2 linked regions of the Arabidopsis thaliana genome follow. The protein of the gene in region 1 interacts with the protein of each later gene in a pairwise test. Each region holds a gene or a part of one and is shown in the gene's direction. Other genes may lie near its edges.

Region 1 (3,755 bases):
TCCTGTTTTTTGGGATCAGTTTCTGAATGCTAAGATGATTGTTGAGGAGTGGAGAGTTGGAATGGGGATCGAGAGGAAGAAGCAGATGGAGTTGTTGATAGTGAGTGATGAGATCAAGGAATTGGTAAAAAGGTTTATGGATGGAGAGAGTGAAGAAGGGAAAGAGATGAGAAGAAGGACTTGTGATCTCAGTGAGATATGTCGTGGAGCGGTTGCGAAAGGTGGTTCTTCTGATGCTAACATCGATGCTTTCATTAAAGATATTACTAAGATCGTGTGAGTTCTATTGTTGTTAATGATTCAAGTCTATATTAGTATTTGTATAAGTTTGTTAAAGATTCAAACTTTGTAGAGATTTAAGATTGTTTGTAAAACTGTTATTTATAAGTTCATTTGTTAGACTCTTTGGTAGAGCTTAATCTCGTGTGTGCCTAATTTTTGTTTGACTTTGGAAATGAATTGTGAGGAGACAAATATAGAAAATAATTTATGAAATGAATTGATTTTGGTAAAGCTTACTGGCTGATTGGTTACACTATAGCTGTAGATTATTTGCTGTAGAATATTGGATGTAAGTGTAAGCTGTAGCTGTAGATTTGTAAAGATTTTATTCAGTTTGTTAGAGAAAATACTCCAATTCTGCATAAAATTCTAAAATCTGATCTTAATAGGAATGATTTTCACACATCTCATGTTTTATCTACCAATATTTTAACATATTTTGCAGTAAATTTAATATTTTACTTGATATCTAATGCTTTAGGACAATTTTTTTTTTACTTTATTTTTGATTTGAGTTCTTCGTTTTTAAGAATTATCGGTTTATAAATAACTAGATTCTGACCCGCACGTATACGTGCGGGGTTTCATATTTTTAAAAATGTATTGGAATATATTTTTAGTGAAAGATATTATAGTGTATAAATTATAATATGCATAAAAAGTGTAAAGTGTTATTTATGATAAAATAGCTATTTTTTGTAATTTATATTATTTATATTTTATTTGTATTTTGCATAGTAAATAGATTGTTAGATTTGTTTCGATTTGTAGAATAATATAGAGATATTTAGAAAATTTGTGTATTTTTGTTAGTTTGATGTATATATAAATTGATTGTTTTTGTTTGAAATTTGATCAATTAGATGATATAATGTAAAATTTTCTCCGTGGTACACCTTTGGTCGATTTTTTTGTAACTAAAAATTCAAATTTTAAGATATAGTTATTTTGTAAATATTGTTTATTTTGTTTAATGTTTAAGAATATATAATTATGTTATAATTATTAATTCTAAAATTTCACTCGTAGATTATCGTCCTTTATTAATATCAACTCAAACTCATCCCACCATATAATTTCATTCCGTAAAATGAAAAATTATTTTGTTATTTTAAATATTGTTATTGTAATATAATAAAAAAATCGAGGGATTGACATGTGGTACATCTTGGATTAATATATTTAAAAATAATTTGTATATTTAAAAATCGAGGGATTGGGTAATTATGAATATATTGATTTTAAAGTCGATTTTTTAAAAGAACAAAATCCAAGATATTTATTTTGTTGTAGTGATTGTTAATTTACTAAACTACCCATGCAAAAATTCATTTACTTAATTTTAAACTACCCTTACAATGTTGTAGTTCATACAATACTTCTCAATTAATAATATAGATAACACTTATTAGTTTTCAAGGGATAAATTTTTTTCCACTTGTGTACATTTAAATTCTACCAAAGTTTTAAAAATTTACGATGACAAAAAAATAATATTCGTATTCATAATATAAACATAATCTAATAAGTTTTTTTGGTTAGGTTCATATCGCTTAAATTAAAGTACGATTTAAAAAAAAAAAAAAAGTAAAAAAGTACGTTTTTGTTTTGGTAAAAAACACTAAAGAGGCAAAAACGTAAAAAGGCAAAAAATATATTTTTACTTGGGGAAAAAGATGTTAAAGCCCACAAGACAAGGCAGAGGTTTCTCCCATGCTTTGTCTTTAGTTTAACCGCCGCATCCTCTCTCTCTGGTCGGAGAAATCTCCAGATTTGGTCATTTCTCCAATCTTCTCGGAACCCTAATTTAACCAAACCTCTCCTCCTTCAGATTCATCTTCCTCCTAATCTCCCTAAAAGCTCAAACCTTTCTCTCAATCAATTCTAAACAATGGCAACAGAAGCAACAACCAAATTCCCAGAATCCGATCTCCGTCCAATCCCACAACCACCGGATTTTCATCCAGCAATCATCGTTCCAGCTCAAAACACAACTCTTAAATTCTGGCAACTAATGGTCGCCGGTTCAATCGCTGGCTCAGTCGAACACATGGCTATGTTTCCAGTAGATACAGTCAAAACCCATATGCAAGCTCTTCGTTCATGTCCGATTAAACCAATCGGAATCCGTCAAGCTTTCCGTTCAATTATCAAAACCGATGGACCTTCTGCTTTATATAGAGGTATTTGGGCTATGGGACTTGGTGCTGGACCAGCTCACGCTGTTTATTTCTCATTCTATGAAGTCTCTAAGAAGTTTTTATCCGGTGGAAACCCTAATAACTCTGCTGCACACGCTATTTCCGGTGTTTTCGCTACTATATCTAGTGATGCTGTGTTTACTCCAATGGATATGGTTAAGCAAAGGTTGCAAATTGGGAATGGAACTTATAAAGGAGTTTGGGATTGTATCAAGAGAGTAACGCGTGAGGAAGGGTTTGGTGCTTTTTACGCTTCGTATAGAACTACTGTGTTGATGAATGCTCCGTTTACCGCTGTGCATTTCACTACTTATGAGGCGGTTAAGAGAGGTTTGAGGGAGATGTTGCCTGAGCATGCTGTTGGAGCAGAGGATGAGGAAGGTTGGTTGATTTATGCTACTGCTGGAGCTGCGGCTGGTGGGTTAGCGGCTGCTGTAACTACTCCGCTTGATGTTGTTAAGACGCAGTTGCAATGTCAGGTGATTGAAATATCTCTAAAGCTACTGACTTTTAAGTATCTGATAGCTAATGTGGTTATAGATTGGCCAAGCTACTTTAAGTAGTTGTCTCTTGATCCTATAGATCACTTGAATGAAGAAAGATATCTTCTTTCTTCTCTTTGGATATTTTGTGATTTCACGAGTATGATTTTATAGGTAACATGTAGATTGCATCAAGCATTGTTAGAACTATGGTCATAAAACTTAATATTACTGAATTTACATGTGAAAGTCGCATAGATAATGTTTCTATATTTGTGGTTTAGAATACTTGGTCAATAGCTATTTCATAGGATTTGGGTTGTTTTGTTTGTTCTGAGAAGTTTGTTTGTGGTGATGTTTCAGGGTGTGTGTGGTTGTGACCGTTTCAAGAGCAGTTCAATAAGCGATGTGTTCCGTACAATAGTGAAGAAAGACGGTTATAGAGGACTTGCTAGAGGATGGCTACCAAGAATGCTCTTCCATGCTCCAGCAGCTGCGATTTGCTGGTCCACTTATGAAACAGTCAAATCTTTCTTTCAAGATCTCAATGGTGAAGCAAACGCAGCTTGAAAAGACACAAACATACATGCGTTTGGCATAATTTACTTGCCTGATTCAGGTCATTGATTCTTCATAGAGCTAGCTACTGGTTGGTTAGTATTAACACTAGCTCTTAGAGAAGATCTCTGTTTGTATAATTTATTTGTTTTCTTCACGCAATAATGTTATCAGATTAGAGTTACAACAACCCCAAGGCCTTTTTTCTGGTTTGCATTGATAGAGAAATTTT
Region 2 (3,755 bases), on another chromosome or scaffold:
CTGGCGTCCTCTACCAGTTACTCGATGACTCCTATCATTTATTTCAGTGAGGTCTAGTGATTGGCTAGTTACATGTCCATAACTTAAATTCCAATTTGACAATGTATCAATGACAAAACCTTATTTCAGATTTCTACTTTTAGTTCGTACTCATGTTTTAATCCAAATGGTGCGACTGATAAATTTGTATCCACACAATACCACCAAAATTGTAAATCCGCGTTTGCAGTAGGATAATAAATATTACAGATTGTTTCGATTTTGGTTTTCTTTTGTGGGTTTGAAATGTTCCATGGTGTAGTGTACAAGTAATGATGATTTGAAAACACAAACTTTATATGAATAACATGTAAACCAAGCTTATCCCAAACATATGCGATATGATAAATATCATACGGTATATCATTTCTCATAGCACGACACTGAGCGTACCATTTGAAAAATTCAACGATTTCTTCAGATCTTGCTTGAAAATAAAGTTTGAATCTCAAAACTCCGTTCAAAATAGAAGAATATCAAAAACACGATGGATACAGTATAATATCCAAACACATTATTTTTTCGTCCAAATCTATGTGACTATGTTGACTCCGTTCAAATCTATGTGACAATCTGTACTATTGGGAAATTTGAAATGCATTTCCGCATATTTACGTAAATACATTACTAAGCAAAATCACATTCTAGCTGTTTCAACGTTACATATAACTAATCAAATGCAACAACACCTTCTCACTTTGATGACAATCGAACATCCAATTAAAAATTCAACAAGAACAATGCATATGTATGGTAGAAACAATCACAACGAGTTAAAAGGATCGTAACGAATGAATCATGACAGACAATTAAACCAGCATACGCAATTATAAGTCTGAATTCGGAATACCAAACATTTATCAAAATCCAACAAAAGGTTCATAAAACTACTAACTTTAAAGAGATCTCGCTCTTTCCAAAATCCAAAAGACAACAAAAGATGATAAAACTCCATAGAAGATTCAAAAACAGAGTTAAGCAAATAAATTCACCTAACTTAAGCAGTAAGCACAACAGCACCACCAGCTTCCTTAATCTTCTTCTCAGCAGTCTTCGAAATAAGCTTCGCCTTCACAACGAACGGCTTGTTCTCAGGCAAATGACCTTTACCCAAAACCTTGAAGAAACCATGTTGAGTCACATCGATCAACGGAACATTGTCCTTGGTTGATTTCGCCTTCACATCTTCAGGGACGAGTGACCAAAGCTTGTCGAGGTTAACGATTGGGCAGAAGAACTTGTTCCTCAGCTTGTGGAAATACCTCATACCAACTTTACCGAAGTAACCTGGATGGTACTTGTCGAAGAGGATCCTGTGGTGATGCATACCTCCAGCGTTACCACGACCTCCGGGATGCTTACGGTGCTTACCGATACGCCCATGTCCGGCGCTGACGTGACCTCTCTTCTTCCTGTTCTTCTTGAATCTGGTTGTCATTTTCGCCGATCTGCTACACTCTCCTCCCTCCCTTTCTCTCTTTGCGGCTAGGGTTTCTTAAGATATCACTGAGTTTATAAAGACGATAAGGATTTTTACGTTTCCTATTTTACCCTCTAGGGTTTACGACATTTTGGGCTATTTAGTTATAACGCGAGATGGGCCTTTAGGCCCGATTATATCGTAGAGGGGGAAGAGAGATCATCTACCACAACCACATGATTGAACCTTCACGCGCCTTTCTGACGCGCCGGTGTTGTTGTTGTTACCATGTGGTTCATGCCTTCGGTGGTGGATCTCCGTGGGTTCCACCTCGGTTTATTTTGGTTGACACGATTCTTCCTTACGTGACGTCTTTCTTCTTCAATTTCGAAACGACGCGTTTTAATTCTTCTTCTGCATTTCATATGAACCAAGGAAAAAGCTTGAAGCGTCGTGACTCGTGAAGCTTCTTCATCTTTAGTCCACCGAACATAAATGGCTCAGCAAGTACTCGGCTGCACGAGCCGCCCCATCCGCGTTTCTCTTCACCGGTGTTCTGTTATTACCACCAGTGACACTATCAGAAGGAAGAATCTCCGATTCGTTAGAAACCCGAGATTGTCGTTTTCTCTTCAATCTTCAACTAGAAATTATCGTCTGCCTTCGATTAATTGCTCGACGGTGAATGGAGCAGTAGCGGAAACTGCGGAATATTACGAAGGAGAAGGAGATAACGTTTCACTTGCTGAGAAAATCCGGCAATGTATTGATTTCCTCCGGACGATTTTACCAGGTGGAAGCTGGTGGAGTTTCTCCGATGAAGTTGATGGTAGGTTCATTGCTAAGCCTGTGACTGTTTGGCGTGCGTTAAGTCGGATGTGGGAACTTGTGGCTGAGGATCGTTGGGTTATCTTCGCTGCGTTTTCCACTCTTATAGTAGCCGCGGTGCGTGGTTCTTCCTTGGTTATGTATTTGTAGAAGTATTCTGAATCTCTACTTAGAAATTCTTAGTTCTAATGAGGAATCAGAATCGTCCTTTTCTTATACATTTTGTTTACTTGTTTACAGCTTTCAGAGATAACTATTCCGCATTTTTTAACAGCTTCGATCTTCTCGGCACAAAGTGGTGATATCGCTGTGTTTCATCGAAATGTCAAGCTCTTGGTTACGTTATGTGTTACTTCAGGCATTTGCAGGTCAAGATCTTGTATGATCAAACACTTGTCTCTGGTTTTATTTGGTTTCAAGTTGAATTAGAGAGTTACTCTTGCTGTCTAACCAACTTGTTGTTTTTGAGATTCTTTTATAAAAGGATTTCCATCTGACTCTTTGTTCAACTCATAATTTCAGTGGCATACGAGGATGCTTCTTTGGGATTGCTAACATGATACTTGTGAGTTCCTTTTTATTTTCTGCTTAAATCTACTCAGTAGTCTTACCTTCTCAGAACATGATATGATGGGATCTCACCCTACTCTGTAGGTGAAACGAATGAGGGAAACACTATACTCCACTCTTCTCTTCCAGGTCCTGAAAGTTTCTAGCTGTTTTGAATCTTGGTAGCTCATGTTTACCTTTAATATCTTTTTAGCTACTTTCGTTAACTTGGCTGGATTTTGCATCAGGATATATCATTTTTCGACTCTCAAACTGTTGGTGACTTAACAAGCAGACTTGGCTCAGACTGTCAGCAAGTCTCGAGGGTCATCGGAAATGATCTGAACATGATATTTCGCAATGTTCTTCAGGTCCTCTGCTACAATATAATTTCCATCTCGCCTGAAGTGTGTTTTTTGCATGGTTGACTTCTGAATGTATGTTTACCTTCTTTCTTTTAGGGTACAGGGGCATTGATTTATTTGCTAATTTTGTCTTGGCCCCTTGGGCTGTGCACATTGGTGATATGCTGTATTTTGGCTGCGGTTATGTTCGTTTATGGGATGTGAGATTCTACCAAAACTTGTCTCACTTTTATTAAGAATACTAATCTGTGAAGATATAATTGATTATACACCTGGCAGCTGAAACTGATACTTAAGCCATCTGGTCATGTTGTAGGTACCAAAAGAAGACAGCGAAGCTAATTCAGGAGATCACAGCTTCTGCAAATGAAGTAGATTGCTCAAAAACGCTTATCGTAACTTGTCTTATATGCAATGAATTCTTTCGTTAATAACTGCTCTGTGATCTTCAAGGTCGCTCAAGAGACATACTCTTTGATGAGAACCGTTCGTGTATATGGGACAGAGAAGCAAGAGTTTAAAAGGTGCGATCTGTTTCCATGAAAACCATTGAC

The links.
Region 2: the proteins of AT2G30160 (region 1) and ABCB26 interact in a protein complementation assay, tested with the Arabidopsis thaliana proteins (one large-scale study listed by BioGRID).

What each region holds. Positions count from the first base shown.
Region 1 is NC_003071.7:12,875,843-12,879,597, forward strand, and holds the start of AT2G30160 (Mitochondrial substrate carrier family protein), read left to right. Parts: upstream 1-1,956; 5' UTR 1,957-2,173; coding exon 2,174-2,962; intron 2,963-3,328; coding exon 3,329-3,535; 3' UTR 3,536-3,755. Other genes in the region: AT2G30150 (UDP-Glycosyltransferase superfamily protein), read left to right, coding at 1-280.
Region 2 is NC_003070.9:26,620,132-26,623,886, forward strand, and holds the start of ABCB26 (transporter associated with antigen processing protein 1), read left to right. Parts: upstream 1-1,767; 5' UTR 1,768-1,954; coding exon 1,955-2,404; intron 2,405-2,527; coding exon 2,528-2,655; coding exon of another isoform or gene 2,656-2,666; intron 2,667-2,809; coding exon 2,810-2,852; intron 2,853-2,941; coding exon 2,942-2,986; intron 2,987-3,084; coding exon 3,085-3,207; intron 3,208-3,297; coding exon 3,298-3,401; intron 3,402-3,517; coding exon 3,518-3,572; intron 3,573-3,654; coding exon 3,655-3,725; intron 3,726-3,755. Other genes in the region: AT1G70590 (F-box family protein), read left to right, coding at 1-28; AT1G70600 (Ribosomal protein L18e/L15 superfamily protein), read right to left, coding at 1,037-1,477.